Stegostoma tigrinum: one gene and its partners. The protein of the gene in region 1 interacts with the protein of each later gene in a biochemical or structural test. Links are inferred from orthologs where the notes say so. Each region holds a gene or a part of one and is shown in the gene's direction. Other genes may lie near its edges. The genes, in order: mis18bp1, mis18a and oip5.

Region 1 (7,807 bases):
AAGTGATGTCAAGGAAGGGCTTTTCTGTCCGGCGTGAAGTGTCAGTGCTTGTAATTTTGTTAATTCTGCAAGATGGCACAACGAACTGTCCTGGATAAACACTGAAGTGCATATGACCAAATGAGTCAGTTGTTTGAACAAAGCCATTTCTCTTAGCAGTTTTTGATCGAGCACTTGTAATTTATTACTCAGCTGTAACTTCTGTAAATTTGTAAGTGATTTAAAAGTGCTTAGACTCTCCAAATTCTTTTTTACATCAATAGTAACAGCTATCAGGTCAGGTAGCAAATTCACCATCCTCTGTTGTTGCTTCTGTGTTGCTTCCTTAATCACCACAGATCTTATTCGCCTTTTTCTTAACGTTCTCCAAAAGTTTGAATTACAGCATTGTAAACTTTTTAGGACAATTATACTATCCGTCCATAAAGTAGGATGATCAATTAACTGTTGGAAGTACTTGCACGTTGCACGAACGTTATCTTTTCCTACCGGTGTTAGATATCTAAATACTTCCAACAATATATCCTGAGGTAGGTTTAAACAATGAGGTTTTTCCATATTAGTCGCAAATCCTATCCTTCCTTAATGTATCGAATTAATTGCTTCTGTACCAATATTTTCCATACTAGCATCTACAAGAAAACAAGAAAATATCAAAAAAAAAACTTATATTTACAATACATTTGAAGAGCCAATGAAGATTTAGATCCAGAAAAAAATTAATTCAGTGAATTCTAACATTTTTATTTTACTAATATACAAATTTTCTTTGTTGTCTAAGGATGACAGAAGTACACAAGTAGCAATGGACGTATACTTAAACATTTTCATCTCCTTCCCAGTAAAAACACTTCTGCTTGCTGTAACTGCACAGCAAAATCTCAAAATTTCAGACCAATTCACATCACTTCGTATTATCTTGGGCTACCTTTAACTCTGATTTCCTTTGTTTTGCTACCATCTAACTTCACAACCTAATCCATAATTGAAATCCATAAAAATTAAACACTATTTGGTTACACTTGGTAAATAGACAAATGGCTACACTGTAAGATCAGTTGGCTTTTAGGTGAGATCTTAAATAGTCCAATTGAATAAGTTCATGAAAGAGATCTCACGGACCTATGACAAGACACACGTTCTCTCTGACAAATATTTATCTCTCAACCAATACCACTATAATAACTTGATTATTGATTTCACTGCTCTTTTTGACCTTGCTGTGAACTGTTTACTACATTTGCAATTGTTCCTGATTCTAAATCAAAAGTGAAGTTCTTTGGGACACTGAGATAGTGAAAGGTGCCATATAACAAATAATTTTAAGTACTGACACAAGTATACATAACACCAACTCATGAATCATTTCCACCATAATGAATATACATACAGTTTTACTTCCAAATACACAATATCCACAAACTTATTTATTCCACAATAAGACTATATTCAACTTTTAATATATCTTTTATAGGCTATGAAAAAAAATCTGATGCCTATGATTTCCACAACTCATTCTCATTAATATATTGCCATTAAATGTAATGAGACACTAAGGTGTTTCATAGCAGCATCATAAAGTATGACCTGCACCACCTAATTAGATAATAGGTCAAGACAATTAAAATTTACTCACTGACCAAACTTAAGGAGTATCTTGAAGGACAAAAAAGGTAAAGAGATGTTGACAGGAATGCCAGAGCAACTGAGGATACACAAAAGACCAAAGTAAGAGGTATGTAGATATCATATTGGCCCAGACAGCTGGTGGAAATTACACAGCTAGGCAGAAGACAGGCCTTTGATAATAAGGATAAGCATTTAAATATTATCATGTTATTTAACAAGATGATGGTGTAGATCAGCAAAGTCAGAAATAAGTACTGGAGTAGATTATGTTATCAAATAATCTTAGGAGTTTCAGGGACAGGTTTAACAATTGTTTATTAAGTCAACATTGAGAAAACTTATCCTGGAGAATATTCGGAGGTAGTATGTTGCCAATCAGCTAAAAATCTTTTTCTTTTTAAAACATTTTAAGTCACAGAAATAGTACATTACTTAAATTCCAAAACAGTGTAGTTCAAATAACTTGTTTCCCATATATCAAAAATGGTAGTTTCTGGTCTTAATCTACTCCCATCATCTTCTGTACTACTCCCTTGGCCCATAACCATGTCTGGCAATATCCTATGTCAGCAGCATTTTGCTCTTGCTTTGTGTTTTAATCATTTTTAACCTGACAGTTATTTTTAAATGAAAAAAAGCCAAATGAGTTATAAAATGAATCTCACCTCATCAGGCTAACTAAATTCACTACATAGAACATAGAACAGCACAGCACAGTACAGGCCCTTCAGCTCACAATGTTGTGCCGAACTTCTACTCTAATCCTAAGATATATCTAACCTCCATCCCTACCTGATACTCTCAACCATATGCTTATCTAATAGCTGTTGAAATGCCTTAAATGCCCCTAATGAGGCCAATTCCACTACACTCTCCGGCAATGCATTCCACGCCCCTACCACTCTCAGAATAAAGAACCTACCTCTGACGTCTCCCCTATATCTACCTCCACTCACTTTAAAACTATGTCTCCTCTTAAAAGCTACCTCCACCCTAGGAAAAAGTGCTGGCTGTCTACTCTATCTATACCTCTGATCATTTTGTACACCTCTAAGAAGTCAACTCTCATCCTTCGTCGATCTAAAGAGAAAAGCCCTAGCGCTCTGAACCTTTCCTTGGAAGATCTTCCCTCCATTCCTGGCAACAACATAGTAAATCTCCTCTGCACCTTTCCCAATGCTTCCACATCTTTTCTGTAATGAGGTGACCAGAACTGGACAATACCCAGATGTACTTCTTTTGAATGTAGTTGCTTACCTCATCTTAAGGTTTTATTAATTCTCCCCAAATAGGTGTGGGGTTAACTTGTGCCACACCCAATACTTTCTCCCAACAATAAAGGAACGGGACTTGCTTCAAGATGAGACACAGACAACAGAATTTTGATATCCTCAGATGGATGGTATAATGTTGGAGACGAGCCAGAAGCATGCTGCAATAGTCAAATCTAGAGGTAATGAAGAATCATTTTCAATAATTTTGCAAGTTATAAACTTTAAGCATTCATGAAACTAAAATAATGGTATCTATTTTAAAAGGAATATTTAACATAATTTTAGAGAAACTTTGAATTAAACCTCCATTTGAACAACTAGATCTGAGCCAGCTCAACAAAATATTGATGTCACAAGGTGCAGAGGTGGATAAAAAAAGCAGGCCAAGCAGATCAGAGGAGCAGGAAAGCAGCTTTTTTGGGTCCAGACCCTTCTTCAGAAATGGGGGAGGGGATTCTGAACTAAATAGGGAGAGAGGGGAAGGTGGATAGAAGATGGATAAAGGAGTAGATAGGTGGAGAAGAGACTGACAGGGTTGGAGCCAGTAAAGGTGAGTGTAGGTGGGGATTTAGAGAGAGGGGATAGGTCAGTCCAAGGAGACAGAATGAGGCTGGTGGGTAAGAGATGGGGCTGTGGCTTGAGGTGGGAGGGGAGGATAGGTGAAGGAAGGACAGGTTAGGGAGGCAGGGACAAGCTGTGCTGGTTTTGGGATGTGGTCAGGGGAGGGGAGATTCTGAAGTCCACATTGATACCATTGGGCTGCAGGGGTCCAGAGTGAAAAATGAGATGCTGTTCCTGCAACTTTTGGGTGACATCACTGTGGCACTGTAGGAGGCCCAGGATGGACATGTCATCCAAGAAGTAGGAGGGGGAATTGAAATGGTTCACGACTGGGAGGTGCAGTCATTTGTTACAAACTGAGCGTAAGTAGTCCACAAAGCAGTCCCCAAGCCTCCGCTCCTCAACCAAATACCATAGCCCCAATCCTCTACTCTATATCATAACTCCTCAATTTCTCTTTCCAATCTTTTCCCCCCACACAGCACCTCTTCTCCAACCTCAACCCACACAATTTCCAAGCATATATTTTGGTTTTTGAATTACTACTGAATCTATCACCACACTTACAAAGTGTATTCCAAGTTATATAACCTGCTACTTTAAAACATACCTTTTCTCCTTCCTTAAGATATTTGAACACATCTACTAAGTATCCCACTGCGTAACGTGAATAATCACAACTTCGGCAGTCTGTCCACAGGGAATAAAGTCCTTTCCTCTGATTTCATTCTGATACACCTCCTCCACAAATCTTACTCACCGCCCCAAAAAAATTCTTATCAGAACGGGTCACTAGGCCTACAGATAATAGGAACTGCTGATGCTGGAGAATCTGAAAAACTTGTTTTCTTAAGAAAGGTCTAGTCCCGAAACGTCAGCTTTTGAGCTCCTCTGATGCCGCTTGGCCTGCTGTTTTCATCCAGCTCCACACCTTGTTATATGGAACACTAGGCTTACCCGGAAATTTCCCTATTTCTGTACTCTAAACTCAAATTCATAAATCGATACCCCGCCAAACCGTTAAAAAGACAAGTGCTATATTACGATAGCACATGAAGATTTTTCTCTCAACACACTCTAACAATTCCTCTAGTCACATGAGCGACTCTGCGCGTGCGCAAGTGTCTTACCGCTGGAACGGCGCGCCATCCGGACACGCGCAATGTTCCATTCTTGACGTTACACATGCTGATTCGGCAGGCCGAAGAGCCAATGTCCAATCAGGTACCGATGCTTTGGATTCGAAAATTCCTAACGATTTTCGGTTTGAAATGGTTGTTGCGAGAGGCACGGGCGTGCGGGTGAGTAAACGGATTTTGTTTCTAGAACCAGGGCTTGACGAGGCCACCGGTTGGAAGATCGGCTGGACAGTCGGGTTCGTGGGGACTTGGAAACGGCTGGTGGATGGGGGAAGCCATTTGTTTAGACCCAGATCTCAGCTAGTATTGGGTCTGCTGGCTACCGTACGCCAATAAAATTGGACCTGAAGCCAGAAAAGTTTAATTAATTCCCTTTTCCTCGAGATGTAGGCGACTCAGAGTTACTTGCCTGACCGTGACCCGACTTCGTTTCGGTGATATGGCCAGGGAGAATATATTTGTAGAATCCTTTGGATTTTTCTTAACCCTATTTACCAAAGCTATTTCATGTTCCTGTTTTTCCCTCCTGATTCCCCTCATAAGTATACTCCTATTGCCCTTATAATCTTTTAGTGATTCACTCGATCTCTGGTGTCTATACCTGACATATGCTTCCTTCTTATTTTTAACCAAAACCTAAATTTCTCTAGTTATCCAGCTATCCCTACACCTTCCAGTCATCCCTTTACCTGTGAACTTTTGAAAGCTCTTGCCTGATACTATCAAAATTGGTCTTCCCCCAATTTAGAATGTTAACTTTTAGATTCAATCCATTCTTTTCCATCATTATTTTAAAACTGAAAACTATGGTCACTGACCACAAAGTACTCTCCCACTGACACTTCAGTCTCTTGTCTTGCTTTATTTCCCAAGAGTAGGTTACGTTGTGCACCTTCTCTAGTAGGTACATCCATGTACTGAGTAAGAAAATTTTCTTGTACACACTTAACAAATTCCTATCCTTTGAAGCCCTTAACACTATGGCAGTCTCAGTCTGTGTTTGCAAAGTTAAAATCCCCTACCATGACCACCCTATTATTCTTACAGATAACTGAGATCTCCTTACAAATTTGTTTCTCAATTTCTCCCTGACTATAGGGATGTCTATAGTACAATTCCAATTAGGTGATCATCCCTTTCTTCTTTCCCAGTTCCACCCAAATAACCTCCCTAAGTACAGCCATAATGTTGTCCCTAATTAGAAACACCACAACTCCCCATCCTCTTGCCCCCTTTCTATCCTTCCTATAACACCTATACCCTGGAAAATTTAAGCTAGCAGTCCAGTCCATCTCTAAGCCACATCACTGTACTTGTTATAATATCCCAGTCCGTGTTCCCAAACATGCCCTGAGTTCATCTGCCTTACCTGTTGGGTCTCCTGCATTGAAATAAACAGTTAATTTATCAGTCCTTCATCTTTCTCTATTTTGTTCCTGCTTGCCCACCAGTATATTTGGCCCCTTCCAATTCAGGTGCAATCCATCCTTCTTGTTCAGGTCTCTTCTACCCCAGAAGAGGCTCTAATGATCCAAAAATGTGAATCCAAATCATCTATCATCTGTTCTATGCTCCTATTCCTACCCTCCCTAGCTCATGACACCAGGACTAGTCCAGATATCACTATCCTCAGACCTTTTTAAATTTTCCACCAAACCTCCTATATTCTCTCCTCAAAGTCTTGTCCTTTTCTCTTCTTGTGGTGTTGGTTCCGATGTGACCTCCTGCTGGTCCCTCTCCCCTTTTGGTACAATTTGAAACCACTCTGAGATATCCTTGATCCTGGGTCTAGGGGAGCAACATACCCTTCCGATGACTAACTGTCAACTGCAGTAACATCTGTCTGTGCCTCTGACTAGAGTCCCCTATCTTAATCGATTGCTGGGAACCTGATGTAACCCTCATTACGTCAGAACCAGTCTCAGTACCCAAATCCAGCTGTCAGTGCTTATATTCCCCTGTAAGCCCATCATCCCTTATGTTTCCGAAACAGCATATTTGTTTGAGATGGGTATAGCTACAGGAATTTTCTGTTCGAGCTACTTCCCTCTCCTCCCTTTTCTGGAGATATCTCATCCACCTGACTATCTTTGGTTTATCTCCCTCCCTACAACTGCCATCCATCACACTCCCTAGCTCCTGTAAATCCCTCAGTGCATCTAACTGCCACTTTGTGCGATGTGATAGGATTGACAACTAAACATACTTCCTTCAGACCTAATCATCAGTAACTCTCCCTAATTTACCACATCCAATAGGAAAGAGCACATCAGTCCACTGAAGGCCATCTTTGCAATTTAACAATCTTTAGACCCAAAAAAAGCACAGTCTTACTGCTCTGAAAACACTGCTCCAGGCTAGCTTAGTACTTACGTTTTTATATTTATAAAGTTTAATTGAGACAGATCTCAATGAAATATATATAAATCAAAAAAGTACCCACTCTTCTCATTATTATAGATTTTTAAAAAACTCAATGAGGTTACGCTTTAAAGCCATCTTAACTGCATCCCCTCACAGGTTATCCAAGGTCAGCTGTGAATTTTGCTGCTCGTTTATTTGTCTTAGGACAAATTCCGATGTCCAGCGATACTTGAAACCAAACAGCAAATTTAGCTGTGCAGGTTACTGCTGGTTCAGACCGCAGTGTAGGTTTCTTTCTCTGTTTGAATCACTTCTCATGTGGTCACTACCATTGTCTCCCTTCTTTCCTTTTTGAAGTGCTGGTGTTTTGATTTTTTTTCTCCAAAGCTCCAAAACAATGCAACAGCTTATAAAACAGTAATTACTGCTCTTCGAATTCAAGGAAATTAGCTCCAACACTGAAAATACCTCAAAAAAGGAGCAGCTGGTACAGCCACAATGTTTCCTAACCTCCATCTTGGATCATCCAGAATCAGTTGCCAAAAGTGTTTTGAGCAGCCACAAAAACTTTCACAATTGGTTTAATAAGACCATAAGGCATAGGAGTGGAAGTAAGGCCATTCGACCCATCGAGTCTACTCTGCCATTTAAATCGTGGCTGATGGGCCACTTCCCTGCACTCTCCCCGTAGCCCTTGATTCCTTGTGAGATCAAGAATTTATCGATCTCTGCCTTGAAGGCATCTTACATCCCGGCCTCCGTTGCACTCCGTGGCAATGAATTCCACAAGCCCACCAATCTCTGACTGAAGAAATGTCTCCTCATTTCCATTTTAAATTT
Region 2 (8,016 bases), on another chromosome or scaffold:
GTAATTCATGTGTTTTGGTTGACCTTTGGGGAAGGAGTTCTAGGATTCTGACCCAGTAACACTGAAGGAATGGCAAAGAGTTTCTAAGTCAGGATGATAAGTGGGTTGGAGAGGAGGTTTCCCATATAGCTGCTGCCCATGTCTTTCTAGACGGAGTCATAACAGTTGATGTTATGACTCCAACATAACACATGGAGTTGTTATGTGCTGTCTGAAGGACCTTGGTGAATTTCTGAGTGCACCTTGTACATGGTACACACTGCTGCTATGAGCGTGGTTGATGGAGTGACTGAATGTTTGTGGACGTGGTACCAATCAAGCGGGCTGCTTTGTCCTGGATGGTGTCAAGCTTCTTCAGTGTGGTCGGAGCTGCAATTCAGGCAGGTGTGGAGTATTCCATCATATTCCAGACATCTGCCTTTTATATGGTAACAGCTTTTTGGAAGTCAAGTCTCTGAGCAGCTCTTATAGGACAGGATCTATATGGCTAGTTCAGTTTGGTTTTTGGTCAAAGGTAATATGCAGGATGTTGATAGTGAGGGAATCCAGTAATGCCGTTTAATCTCAGGGAGTAATGGTTAGACGTTTGACTCTGTCAAGAGGTCAGGAATTGAGTGTTTCTAATGGTACAAACTGAGTGTCAGTTAGCTGGTTATTGCTAAGGAAGTATTACTTGATTGTATTGTTGATGATCCTTTCCTTTAACTGATTATCAAGTGTAAATTGAAGGAATAGTAATTGGCTAGATTGGATTAGGCCAACTTTACAGTATAGGCAATTTTCCACATTCTTAGGCAGATGTCACCGAAGCGGCTGTACTAGGGTACCTTGGCTAGGGATGCAGCACAAGTCTTCAGGATTATTGCTGAATTATTATTGCCTTTGAAGTATCCAGTGCAATGCCTTGCGATCATTTAGAGTGAATTGCATTGGCTGAAGACGGGCATCTCTGATGTTGGGATCTGTGCAGGAGACCAAAATGGAGCATCCACTTGGCACTTCTGGATGAAAATTGTTGCAATGTTGTGTTGGGAACTCCAATCATCCAGAATGGAGATACTTCTAAAGTCTTTTCCTCTTTGTTTGAGCTGTTTAATTGTCTACCAACACTCATGACTAGATGTGGACTACAGAACTACTGAACTTCAGTATGATTTGTTGGAAACGGAATTGCTTAGCTCTGTTTATCACTTAAAGTTTTAGCTGTTTGTACAAGTCATCCTGTGTTGTGTTTTCACCAGGTTTTCTTTTAATTCATTCACAGGATGAGGGCATCCCTGGCTAGGTTGCTATTTATTTCCCATCCATAATTGGATACATTGCCCATCCATAATTGCCAAGAGGGTATTTAAGAGTCAATCACAATGCTGTGGGTATGGGTCTGGAGTCACATGTAGTCTAGACTGGGTAAGGATGGCAGTTTCCTTCCCTAAAGAACGTTAGTGAACCAAATGCATTATTCCATAATGGATTCACGGTCACCTTTAGACTCTTAATTCCAGTTTTTTTTATTGAATTCAAACTCCACCAACTGCCTGGGTCTTGGGATTAACAGCCCAATGATAATACCATTAGACAATCATCTCCCCTGGATTGGGGTAACACCTCATCTTTAGGAACAAAAACAGAAATTGCTAGAAAAGCTCAGCAGGTCTGGCAGCACCTAGGGACAGAAATCAAAGCTAATGTTTTGAGTCCAACGACCCTTCCTCAGAATTAGGGGCATCCAGGTTAGGTGGATTAGCCATGGTAAATGTGGGGATAGGGTTGGGACTTGGTCTTGGTGAGATGTTCTTTGGAGGGTCATTATAGATTCAATAGGCTGAATGACCTCCTTCTGCACTGCAGAGATTCTGTGACATGAATAAACTAGATAGGGATTTTCTTGACAATTGTTTAATGATTATCTTTTAATTCTGGATTTCATCGACATCAAATTTCACCATTTGTTGTGGTGGGACTCAAACTTGGTTCACCAGAAAATTACCTGTGTCTCTGGATTAGATAGTCCATTTACAATACCTCCACATCTCGCCTGCGCTGTCACAGAATTGTTGATTTTGATATGGGCAAAGTCAGAAGTCACATGACACCAGGTTATAGTTCAACAGATTTATTTGAAATCACACATGCTTTTGGAGCATCTCCCCTTCATCAGGTGCAGTTAAGGGGCTGCCTTCCGAAGGACTATAACCTGGTGACTTTGTCCACCCCAGTCCAACACTGGCACCTTCACATCCTTGATATAGATAGGCAGTACAGTTGATGATGATATGAGGACATATTTCTGTTATTAATGAAAATCTTCAAGGGTTGCATCTTCACCCTGCTGGACACCAGGGAGAAACCTCTTTTATAGTCAGTGCTGAGGCAGCTGTATTTGTCTAGGATAACAGCAATGTAAATCCATCAGCACTCAGCTTCTCCATTGGCAATACCTCAGCCATGCATCGCCTTGGTAACACACAGAAACTAGGTCCTTCATGGCCCCAGGCTCACCTTCTGAGGAACACAGAGGAGGTTTCTGCCTTGGACCTGCAGCATGCGGGCCCACAGGCATGAACACGATGTGGCACTTACAACAATGTGTGACTATCTCCTCTGCCTGGTGGATACTTTCGAAAGGTGGCGGCTAATAAACGCTGACAATAAAAACCCAGAGTGGACTGATCTTAACAGTCACTTCTCTGGAACATCCTGAAACCAGGCCAACTGTAGCTCTGTGCATTCGTTATATGACTTAACTAAACTGGGAAGTCCGAATGGAGGACTGTGATGTGTGGGCAGGCCAGGGTGTCCCTCGTCTTTGCCCTAGATGAGAGCATTCTCAAGATAGATAGCTGACAAGCATTCAGTCTGACACAAAACACCCTACAAATTGTCAGCTCTGCTATAACATAGTAGTCTGTGTTCCCCTGCATGGTCACATTATAGAAAATCGTGCTATAGAAATAACAGGATCTATGAGAAAAGTGGAGTTGAGGCAAACTACCAAAATTATCACTCAAAATCATTTGAAAATCACTCAAAAGCCTTTCACAAAGGATGGCACAGTTTAAATGAAAAAATAAAAGTAAACTTAACACCTTCCCTTTAAAAAATGTCAAGATGACTTGATGGGGGAGTAGGTTTTGAGGTTGCTGTGTTGTTAATGCAGACGCTGAGGGTAATCATCATGATCTTCAGGTGCAGCTGTGGTTGCAGGGTTTGGGCAAAAAATAATTAATCCAGAAGTGGATGGATGTGGTTCATTGTCTTCTGACTGTTTCTTGGGGGGAATAAGATATCCAGTATTTGCTGCTTTGCCCTTTTTCTTCTTTCATGAAGAAACTCTTCATATGCTGCCAAGTAAGGTCTTATTCCTTGAACTGCTACCCTGCTGCATTCAGCAATGTATTCATTGTCCTTTAACAGGTGCAACTGCTTCTCAATTTCCCTCAGGATAGAAGAAAAAACAGAAGTGGAAAGCTTTCGTGGTGCTGCATCATGGACTTCACCTTCTTCATCCCCAGCTTCCATTTCCCCCTCAGCGACAAGTTGTTGTAGATCAGCTGTAGAGAGTCTTCACTGTGGGACTCAAGCAGCTCTTCAACATCTCACTCTCCACTTCTTCAAATCCAACGTGCTTTGCAAATTCAACATAACGTTCTTTGATTCTAGAGAGCTCCTCTAACGCATCAAAGCCTTTAAAATCTTGAAAAAAATCTAAGAAACTTCCACCAAACTGCATGCAAACAGTCCTTGCTGACATCACCTCAGGCATCCGCGATAATGTCAACTGCATTCTCGATGTTAAAGCTCTTCCAACATTGAGGAACACTGTCCTCATCCACCGCAGTGGCTGCAATCAGCCACTGAAATGTTCGTCTGAAATAATAAGCTTAAAAGCTGCTATTGCACCCTGGTCCCTGGGTTGAAGGAGAGAGGTTGTGTTTGGTGGTAGAAATAGAACGTTGATGTTTTCAGAAACCTCACCAATGGCGGGAGGATGGCTTGGCGCATTATCCAGAATGAGGAGAATCCTGAGATCTGATTTTTTTTCCCCTACAATATTTTCTAAAAATATTTTCCTGAACATCACCAATAAGGTCATCTGTACACCAATGGAATTGCATTATAGCCACCACAAGTTCACGTTTTAGAAATAGTGTTCCCTGATTTGTCAGTCGCATTATAAACAATTCGCATTGCCAGAACATGCATTATAGCAGAACTGTTTGGTTTTATGATGCCCAGGAAAACAACTAATACAGCCAATATAAAACAACAAAGTGAGGATACTGCAAATCTGAAAGGAAAACAGAAAATGCTGGAGAAGCTCAACAGGTCACCGTGGTGGGATAGCATGGTGCCTCAGTGATTATCTTTGCTGCCTCACAATGCCAGGGGCTTGGGTTTGATTCCAGCTTTGGATGACTGCCTGTGTGGAGTTTGCATGTTTTTTTTATTAGATTCCCTATTCTCCCTGCATCTGTGTGAGTTTCTGTTTGTGGTTCTGGTTTCCTCTTATAGTCTAAAGCTATGCCCGTTAGGTGAATCGGCCATCTTATTGCAGTGGTTGCAGTGTCCAGGGTGTGTACGCTAGGTGGATTAGCCATGGTAAATTAGTCTGGGTCTGGCTCAGATGCTCTATGGAGAGTCATTGTGGACTCGATGGGCTGAAAGTCTTCTCTCCCCACTGTTGGGATTTTATGAAGTCTGTCAGTATGTGTGGAGAGAACACAGAGTTAGCATTTCAGGTCCAGTGACCCTTCTTAAAAACTATTTTGGTCTGCTCACATTGTGTTTTATCATAGTATTGCCCATCCCTGGCCAGGTGCGATGGGGGTGGACTCACGAGAACTGCGCTGCGACTTTCCACAAACAGGGACGAGACACGCCGGACAGGGCTGCGCACGCGCGCACATTGCGGTGAGGGTGGCTTCGTACGCAGGCGTGTAGCCGGCTGCAGACGCTCTCTGCGCCTGCTCAGTGATTTGAAAGATGGCGGGAGTGACGGTGGATTTGGTAACGGACGATGAAACGGACAACAAGGATTCGGGCACTTTCATCAGCGGTGACTCGGATTTGCCGGCCGTCTTCCTCTGCTCACAGTGTCGGCTACCGGTGGGAGATTCGCTGGCCTGGGTCGGAGCAAACCCGAAAGAGGACATGATCTATCTGAGCAGTGAGTGGGGGGTGGAGTTGTCCCCTAGCCCGGGGGGATGGGAGGGGGGTGTGTTCCGGTGTTTTGTGGGGATGGCTTGAAGGGGGGGAGGTGGGAGATGTATGTGTCCCAGTGTGTTGTGGGGATTGGGGGCGGAAGAATTGGTTTAGGATGCCCAGTCCACAGAGAGTGCTTGAGAGAATTCCTGCATTAATGCTGGAAATTTGGGGTGGGGGGGAACCATTTAAGTTTTTAAAATTGATGCACAAGGTGGTTAAATGACACTTTTTGATGTTTGAAATTTAGACTTTAATAAAACAAATCTGAACAAGAAATTGAAACAGAGATAATGGGAACTGCAGATGCTGGAGAATCCAAGATAACAAAGTGTGGAGCTGGATGAACACAGCAGGCCAAGCAGCATATCAGGAGCACAGACTCTTCGTCAGAAAAAAGGGAGGACGAGAGGGTTCGGAAACAAATAGGGATAGAGGGGGAGGCGGATCGAAGATGGTTAGAGGAGATGATAGGTGGAGAGGAGACAGACAAGTTAAAGGGGCGGGGATGGAGCCAGTAAAGATTCCAATATCTGCAGCAATTTTCTCATTCATTAGTCTCAATATATTTTACTCTCCTCATAGTTAATTTTGTATTAAAATATATAAATAAATGTAATTGAATAGATAAAGATACTAAAATTTGCCTTAAGTCTCTGCTAATATGACTGTGTGGGTTTTCCTTATGTTGGAAAGTCTAATGGTGAAGCAGGGATGGGGAAAAGTCATACTCACAAGTGGTGATTACATACTTTAATGAGCACTGTATTTCCAAGTTGACTAATGGTTATTTTAAAAAAAAGCCAATTAAGCATACAACTTTGTGTGCGGGAACACCATTCATGTAAGCACTGTGAATTTTGTTGAAATCACTTCAAACCTTTGTGGCTGCTGGATAAGCCATAGTAGAATGGCTTGTGTGCCAGATCTAATTGAAGTTTGATATTTATTTTGTATATTTAAGTTATAACTTTGCTTGACTCTTGTCAGGATCATAGAGTAACAGGGATAAGAAGGTTACTTCCTCAGATATGTTTTTAAGGTGAGGTTCTAAAGTGTCATACATGATATTGTATTGTCTTTTAAAGATAGATCCACTTTTATTTTGATATTGAATATTTTAGGTGGTTGAATGCACAAAGAACATGGCCTTTTGTAGGCAGCTGGTCATTGTACCTGAATTTTAGACTCGTAAGCTGATAACCTGTTGCTCTTCTCTAGGTGTTACTAACAATATCAAAGTAGACAAAGAACAGAAGGTAGACACTGCAGATGAGTCTGGTTGGTAAGTATGTTGACTTAGTGCAGATTTTTGAGTACAAGTGAAGGAAAGTCTTTTTTAAATGTGGTGGATGCAACAAAGTCCATTCATTCTATCAAATCTTTTATAGCAATTAAACTATGCTTCTGTAAGCTCATAGTCCTTTAGTTTTTAATTGTTTGAAATTATTTTTGGAAAAATTGTTTTCTTTTGGCTTTATCTTTGTCTCTTAATTCCATCTTTCTTTTCTCTTCTCCACATGATTTAACATTTGTTTAATAAAAAGTTCAAATTTGGGCCTTCTAGTTCTGTGTGCCTTGGTTGAAACTCTTCAGTTTCCTGGACACATGCTCCTTCAGCTAGTCTCAGATCCACTATGCAGAGTGCCACACCAAAATAGATTTTTAATTGCTTCGAGTCACTGCATGAAAATCCACTAAAATATCTGTGGACAGTTGTTTGCTTAGTGAATTGTGGCACTGTTTGTTTGCCTTTTACTGCAAAATTTGGACAAATATATTCCATTTATAGAGTCAGATCGATGTTGCAAGTGACTTTTCAACTGCAACCAATGTGACATTTCCTTGTGGCATCATTAAAGCAGAATGTTCAGAAAATAGGTCTTATAGGTTAACTGAACAAAATAGCATGTGTTCCCTGTTACAAAGAATCTATTTTACTGAGCAGTGTTCTAATTTTCTTCATTTAACCTTTTTCCATAAAGGAAAATTCTTCCATTTCATTCCAGTGCGTTTGTGCACTAAACATATGTTTGCAGTAACTCCAGGTATTTTCATCCTTCAAATTTCTATGAAGCTCAGACTTTTTTTACTTTTTTCAACTGGCACAGGGATTATTGACCCAGCATTAAAGTCTTTGGATTTGGCTAGGTTGGAGGTTGATTTCCTTTTGGATTTTAAAAAATGTGTTCATTCCTTCTGTTTAGAGGATGCCGGCGATATAGCTAGCAATTTTAGTGTATGTCCATTGATAGCAGACATATGGTCACTTCTTTGACAATGGAATAGAAATACAATTCAGCAAACTATTGGAAATACTGTAAAGGATGCAATATCCTATTCATTGTGGATGGACTTGATGAATAAAATGTCAGTTGCCAGAATTGGATGAATACAATGTCTGGGATTCTGTAAACATAGTAACATGTTAATCTCGTGTCCTGTAAAAATGACAAACAATCTACAAAATCTTCCAAAAGAATGGGTAGTCTAAACAAAACCGGGCGCCAATGAATAATGTTACCTTTCCAGCACTAAAACCATAAGATAGAGAAGTAGAATTAGGTCATTCAACCCTTTGAGCCTGCTCCGTTGATAGATGAGGGAAGGGCTGTAGATGTCATGTACGTGGACTTCAGTAAGGTGTTTGGTAAGGTTCCCCATGATAGGCTGGAGAAAGTAAAGCCGCATGGGATCCAGGGTATACTAGCTAGATGGATAGAGAACTGGCTGGGCGACAGGAGACGGACAGTTGTAGTGGAAGGAAGTTTCTCAAAATGGAGAACTGTGACCAGTAGTGTTCCACAGGGATCA
Region 3 (7,153 bases), about 52 Mb from region 1:
TTCCAGCATTTAATGTTTATTTCAGATTTACAAAATCCACAGAATTACATGCATTTGTGTTAGTATTTGATTCATGGCTATTTCTTTTGCAGAAATCCAGACCTTTAAGAAGTTCTGCTCCAATTTCTGACCAGGTTTTCAAGTCTGACCGGATTTGTTTGTCGCTTTTACCTGAACTGCTCTCTATTTCCCATCCTGTTATTCATCAGGTCTAGCAAAACAGGAGTTCACAGTTACAGTTCCTTCATTAGTAACTGTCTTCCTCTGGCTTATTCCATGTGGATTACAACCGAAATTCTACCCTCTCTCTTTCAGATCTACCTATTGTTACAGATAACTCCCAGGCATTCAGCATTGGTCAAGTAGGGACATAATGGCAATGTTACTAAAGTAACATTGGGAACAAGGATTCAAATTCCAACACACTATCTGATGGAATTAATATTTAATTAATTAGAAAGCCTGGAACTGAAAGCTACTTTCATATTCACCATTACAAAGACGAGCTTTCAATTGCTCTAAAAAACCATGAAGTAACTTAGGGATGGAAATCTGCCTTCTAGCCCTGTTCTGCTACAAAGTGGTCAACCCTAGGTCAGAACCCCTAAGTACTCTGATCATTTTTAATTTAACTTAATTGTGCTTTTAAAAAGAGTGTTGATAGTCAAATATTCCTGCAGATGTAAATTAAGTGCCTGTCTGGACAGAGAGAGGGAGAAGCCCATGGAAATTCACACCTACTGATGTAAAGGGAACTTCAAACAACATCCCTTCAAAGGGGGGGGGGAGGGATTAGAGCCAACTGATCTCTTGAGACTAGAAAGATAATAAGGGATTGATGACCAAACTGCACACTCATTTTGTGCTTTTCTCTTTGAAGAACAAACATGGAGATGATTTATAAGAGATAATGGGAACTGCGGATGCTGGAGAATTCAAGAAAACAAAGTGTGGGGCTGGATGAACACAGCAGGCCAAGCAGCATCTTAGGAGCACAATTTATAAATAATTTATAATTTATAAAACCAGTTTCAACTCCACTGGAATGTATTAGTGGAACAAAACTCTTGTATGTACCAGCCTCAGTTCAAGCTTTAGTGTGCTGTGATAGGCATACACAAAGAACTAGCCCCTATTTACCACTGTGTTACCTTCTCTCACTCCAAGTGTTACAAAGCATTGAACAAGGAAACAGGATAACAAAATGAATCTCGCTCACCCTCAATACTGGAATCCAGTCAAGGTCAAAAGGAATCAGAACTACAGAGTCAACAAAATGTGAGGCTGGATGAACACAGCAGGCCAAGCAGCATCTCAGGAGCACAAAAGCTGACTTTTCGGGCCTAGACCCTTCATCAGAGTGTCAATCGACGTGTAAAACACTCTCTTCACTGTCCTGAGCTCCAATTCCTTCCAGGCGAAGCAGCATTTCACTTGCACTTCTTTCAATCCAGTCTATTCCAATCATTGCTCACAGTGCAGTTTCCTATACAATGGCTAGACCAAATGCAGACTAGATGACCGTTTTGCAGAATACTCTAATTTTGTCCACAGGAATGACCTTCCAGCGCATTCCATTTCAACAAACCACCTTTCTTTCATGCTAACATTTCTGTCCTTGGTCTGCTGCAATTTTCCAAAGAAGCAGAATGCAAACTCAAGGAAAAACATCTTATTTTCTACATAGGCAATCTACAGCCCCTAGGTCTTGATATTGAATGTAATAACTTCAGAAACTGACTGTTTTATGTCCGTACTCTGTTTTTCTTACGTTATCTTCCACCACCGCCAATTCTTGATTACTTTGCAATTAGTAACAAGGGCCAAAGCTCTCCTTTTCACATCTTAATTTACACCCTTTTAACCTATCTTTTCTTTCTCTGTTATTAACAACTTTTTTTTGTCTTTTGCACTACATTATCAGCCCCCTTGGTGTCTTTCACCTCTGTCAAAAGTGTACAATAAAACCTATTTTTCAACACCTTTCAGTTCAGACAAACAGCTATACCAAACTTTAAACTTTAACTCTGTTTCTCTCTTCACAAATGCTGCCAGACCTGCTGAGTTTCTCCAGCACTTTTGTGTTTGTTGCAGAACAAAGAATTGTGAAATCCACTGCTCAAACAGCAATGTCAGTGATACCAGTAGCCTCGAATGCAGTGCTGGCAATGTTCATCTACCTATTCATCAGAAACAGTTTAGAGACTGACCCATATGTCTCTTTTTAAAAAGAAATAATATTCTCACCTCTTAATTTTAAAGTGTTTGCAAATTCTTCTTTCGTTTGGTACTTAATAAACTCACTCTATGTTAAGTCAAGAAAGCCTGATTAAATTGGACTCTTTGAAATCACGAGTTTAATCAGGTCTGGGAGAAGGATTTCTGAAGAAGGGTCCCAACCCGAAACATCAGCTTTCTTGTTCCTCTGATACTGCCTTGTCGGCTGTGTTCCTCCAGCTCCACACTGTGTTATCTCAGACTCCAGCATCAGCAGTTCCTACCATCTCCATAAGGTAAAGGATCTGTTTTTAAATTAATATTTCTGTAATCAACTTGAATAAGTTGAGTGAAGACGTGGAGCCAATTTTGTCTCTGCTCATCCGACAACTTCATGATTTGGGGTATTCTGTCTGAAACCATGCTAACAAATTAGCAGCATCACCAGGGAACTGGGTGTAACAAATTGGGGAACCTTGCCAGGGTTTTGTCATATCAGTGTGATTCCAGATCCACAGCAATGTGCCTGACACTCTGAAAGGCCCAGCAAGTCACTTCAAGGACAACTAGGGATGGACAATAAAAGTGTGGGTTTGGGAATGAAGGGAGAATTGTAAGGGAGAAAACCAGGGTACACAAAAAGGTTACAATTATGTTGCTAGGTGCAGTTTCTAGGCCACCAGTGGGAAAGATGTGGAGGAACAAATCTGCAGGGAAATTATAGACAAATGGTAACATTCTAGAATAGTTTTAATGCAGACTTCAATGACCTAAATATAGACTGGGACACTCAAGTGTACCTGGACTGTGTTCAAGAGAGCTTCCAAAGGGAGTAGATGTCCAGTCTGACAAGAAAGGAAGCACTGTTGGACCTGGCTCTTGAAAATGAGGATAAGTCAAGTGGATCAAGTGTCAGTGAGGGGACGTTTAGGAAACAGTGACCATTGTATTATTAGATGGTGGAAAATGATCTGCAACAGTGAGATCAGTCAATGGCAGAGAGGACACCTCAATGAGGCAAGAACAGAGTTGAGCAGGATTGACTGGAACCAGAGATTGGTAGAAAAAGTAGTAACTGAACAATAGGATACCCTCAAAGAGGAGATGGTTCAGGTACAGTCAAGATACATCCTCTCAAATAGAGAAGGTGGAACAAACAAATCCAGAGCTCCTGGATTAAAAAGGAGAAAGGAATTAAGATTAAAAAAGATGTGCCTATGCCAAGTCTCAGTTAAATTGAGAACCAAGAGGAATATCAAAGGTTTGGAGGGAAGGTCAAAAAGCAAATGAGAGAAGCAAAGAGGATTTCTAAGAAAAGACTGACAGCCAGCATAAGGAAATGTCACAGTCTTCCGCGGCCATGTAAATAGTAAAAGGCTGATAAAAGGTGGAGTAGCGCCAATTAGGTATCAAGAATGTATTAAATGAACACCATGCACCTGTCTTTACTAATGATAGAAATGCTCCCTAAGGTCATAGTGACAGGGAACTCAGTCACTAGGGCCGATCAAAATTGAAACTGCAGAAGTGTTGGTACTTAAAAATGAACAAGGCGCCCAGGACTGGTTGAGATGCCCCCAAGGATTTTGAAGGAAGTGAGAATTGACATTGCAGGGGACCTAGGCACAAATCTTTCAGTATGCTCCACACTTGAGAGGTGTCAGAGTCTGACAAACAATTGCAAACTTCACGACAGCCTCATTCAAGAGAGGATAATCCCAGCGACTGCAGACCAACCAGTTTGACATCCAGCGATGGACAACCATTTGGAATACAACTAATTCATCTCCCCCCCCCCACAAAACCTCCTCTACTCTGTTCCGTCCCCCTCCTTTCTCCACGCCCCACCCCGTTTCCGCGAAGACGGCGTACTGCGCATGTACGCTGGTTTGAACGCAGTGCGGCGCGCGTTTGCTAACGGTCGTGTTTGAGGAGGAGGTGAGGGGGTTTGGTTGGGTCTGGGGCATATGGTGGCTGGGGTGTTGTTCGCTTCTTCCTCCTCCTTCCCTCCCCCGAGAGAAAAATAAAATAACCCCCCAAGGGCAGCGGCAGCAATAACAACATGTCTCACTGTTGTTCCCCTGGCGGAGGAACTGGCTGGAAGAGGGCATGGTGCCTTTGGGTTTTGAGATGGGAGTGGGTTACTGAGCGGGTTTGTTGTTACAGAGAGGCGCTGCAGTGCCTAGACTAGAGGGGAAGATTTGGTTCGTGTCAGCTCTCAGCTTCAGCCCACAGCCGAAAAAAGCTTATTTCTGGCACCTTCGATGTGACCAGATGTCTCATGAAGTTACCAAAACTGGGTCTCAATGAAAAGGTAGCAGGACAGATGACCAAAACATGGTCAAAGAGGCTTATGAGGAACCAGAGCCGTACCCTCTCCTTTAATAAACTCCTGTTGCAATTTTCTCAGTAAACTATGTGCCTCTGGATTGCCAGCTTATTGCCTCTGCATATCATATCCCTTTTACACTTCATCTGTCACTTTAAACAAGCCTTTTCTTTTACTACGTTTGATCTTGTCTCAGTGTAAGATTTTGCTCCATGGAGCAGTTTCCCAATGTTATAAATAGCACTTTTTCTCCACTTGGCCACTAATGTGCTAGCTAGTCGTTTCTTTAAACTGCATGTTCAATGGTTGTGGTTTCAATACCAAGGGCCTCTATATCGAATGCTAAAGTGTCAAAGTGTAAGAATGTTTATAACCTATCTTCATGTGCCAATGCTAGACACAAGCCAAGAGCTAATCACATTCTCTGGTGCAACATTTCAGTGTCTGCTAATTGACAGCATGTCCATCTGTGTAGGTCTTGTATAAAAGCAAATTGTTGGGTTTTGAAAATAAAAAGAGTGCTGCAGCAACATTCTGCACGAGAGTCACACTGGACTTATAATGTTAACACTGTTTCTCTCTCTCTGTCCTAGATGCTGCCAGACCTGCTGAGTTTTTCCAGCTCTTTCTGTACCTATTGTGTGTAGGACCTGGAGTCTAGGCATTGTTAGTGACTGAACAGCCCAGTGGCAATTGAGATAGATAGACAGAAGATTTGTTTTCCAAATGCTTGCTGGGCAGTGGAGGTACTGTGGCTCAATTGCTGGCATTTCTGCCACTGAACTGCATTCAAGTCCCACTCTAGATTTGTTGGAAGGAGTGTTCGTAACACTGGACAGGTTCTTATTCAGCTTATAAATCCTTCCAACATTCAACACCATCCCTCAGTGAAAAGAAGGAAGGAAAGAAAGAAAAAAAAGTGTGGCGATGAACACAGTGGTTGGGTAAGCAATATACTAGTGAATAGGCAATACAATAGTGGTCTTTCTGGAAGTACCCTAAAAAGCAGTTGAGGCGTAAAATACTTGGAAAAAACTGTTGAGGATGGGTTTTCTTAAAAAAATACTTTTAGTTTTCATCTGCATGCTCTATGATAGCTCTTTAAGCTTCCTCTAACTTGTTCCCACAACAACTTGAAAATGATTCTCCTTTTACCCGTTAAGACAGAAAGGAAACTGAGTTTACAGCAAATTGTCACTTTATTCCATTGGTAGGATTTGATAGTCAGGATTTTAAACATTTCATTCGTGGTATGTGGATCTTGCACTTATTGCCTATCTGAGAAGTGGTGAGTTGCCGCCTTGAGCCACTACAGTCCATATGCTGACCTACAATGCCATTAAGGAGGGAATTTCCAGCATTTTGACACAGTGACACTGAAGAAATGGCAATATATTTCCAAGTCAGTGTGGACAGTGGCTTGGAAGGGAAGTTGCAGGTGGTGGTGTTTATAGTATCCATTGCCCATGTCCTTCTAAATGATAGTGATCGTGAAAGGTTCCATCCAAGGAGCTTTGGTGAATCTCTGCAATGCATCGTGTTGATAGTTGACATCCCTACTAAAGAGCATTGCAGGGAGTGAATGTTTGTGGATGTGGTGTTATTCAAATAGGGCTGCTTTTTCCTAGATGGTGTCACATTTCTTGCATGTTGTTGGAGCCTTACCTGTCCAGGTAAGTGGGAGGTATGTCATCACACTCCTGACTTGTACCTGGTAGATCGTGGACAGGCTCTGGGGAGTCAAGAGGCGGGATACTCACCACAGGATTTTTAGCCTCTTACCTGCTCTTGTAGCCATTGTGTTTAATGGCTACTCCAGTTCCAGGGGTGGCACAGTGGTTCACACTGCTGCCTGACAGCACCAGGGACCCAGGTTCTGTTCTAGCCTTTGGTGTCTGTCTGTGTGGAGTTTGCACATTCTCCCCGTGTCTGCATGGTTTCCTCCGTGTGCTCCGGTTTCACACAGCCCAAATGTGTGCAGGTTAGGTGGATTGGCCATCCTAAATTGCCCATAGTGTTCAGGGATGTGTAGCGTTGGTGGGTTATAGGGGGATGGGTCTGGGTGGGATGCACAGAGGTTCAGTGTGGACTTGTTGGGCCGAAAGGCCTGTTTCCACACTGTAGGGATTCTATGGATTCCTGAGGTTTTCTTCATAACATGTTGAAATATACTTTAATTGTGTTTACAGTCCGAATATTTCATCAATATAGTTCGGTTTGCACATCCCAATTGCGATGGTTGATTGATTTGATCAGTTGTTTTCTCTCTCTTTCTTCCTGTGTGCCCTGTTTAGATGGACAGTGTTGTGATTGGGTCCTTGAAGGTGAAGGACTGTGTGATCTTCCAGTGCAAGAGATGTCACACTGTGTTGGGAGATTCTCTGCAATCCTGCGGTAGCAGCTTACCATTGAACATGCTGTTATGTTTGAGTAAGTGTTAGGTTAGCTATGTATAAATGGTGATAGATTTTTAATCAGGAGGAGCATCAAGGCAAGAACGTGGAGTTAAGGATTATCAGATCAGGCATGATCTCGTTGAATGGCAGAGCAGATATAAAGGGCTGAATGGCCTACTTCTGTAAATCTTGTAGAAAAATACAGAAGCTT

The links.
Region 2: the proteins of mis18bp1 (region 1) and mis18a form a complex in vitro, tested with the Homo sapiens proteins (2 studies listed by BioGRID). The link is inferred for Stegostoma tigrinum from reciprocal best matches to the Homo sapiens genes MIS18BP1 and MIS18A.
Region 3: the proteins of mis18bp1 (region 1) and oip5 form a complex in vitro, tested with the Homo sapiens proteins (2 studies listed by BioGRID). The link is inferred for Stegostoma tigrinum from reciprocal best matches to the Homo sapiens genes MIS18BP1 and OIP5.

What each region holds. Positions count from the first base shown.
Region 1 is NC_081363.1:32,857,624-32,865,430, reverse strand, and holds the start of mis18bp1 (mis18-binding protein 1), read left to right. Parts: upstream 1-4,729; 5' UTR 4,730-4,765; intron 4,766-7,807. Other genes in the region: uncharacterized protein im:7136021, read right to left, coding at 1-558. UniProt on the Homo sapiens protein: Required for recruitment of CENPA to centromeres and normal chromosome segregation during mitosis.
Region 2 is NC_081365.1:24,796,231-24,804,246, reverse strand, and holds the start of mis18a (protein Mis18-alpha), read left to right. Parts: upstream 1-4,941; 5' UTR 4,942-4,983; coding exon 4,984-5,167; intron 5,168-6,423; coding exon 6,424-6,487; intron 6,488-8,016. UniProt on the Homo sapiens protein: Required for recruitment of CENPA to centromeres and normal chromosome segregation during mitosis.
Region 3 is NC_081363.1:84,907,841-84,914,993, reverse strand, and holds the start of oip5 (protein Mis18-beta), read left to right. Parts: upstream 1-4,083; 5' UTR 4,084-4,155; intron 4,156-6,840; coding exon 6,841-6,976; intron 6,977-7,153. UniProt on the Homo sapiens protein: Required for recruitment of CENPA to centromeres and normal chromosome segregation during mitosis.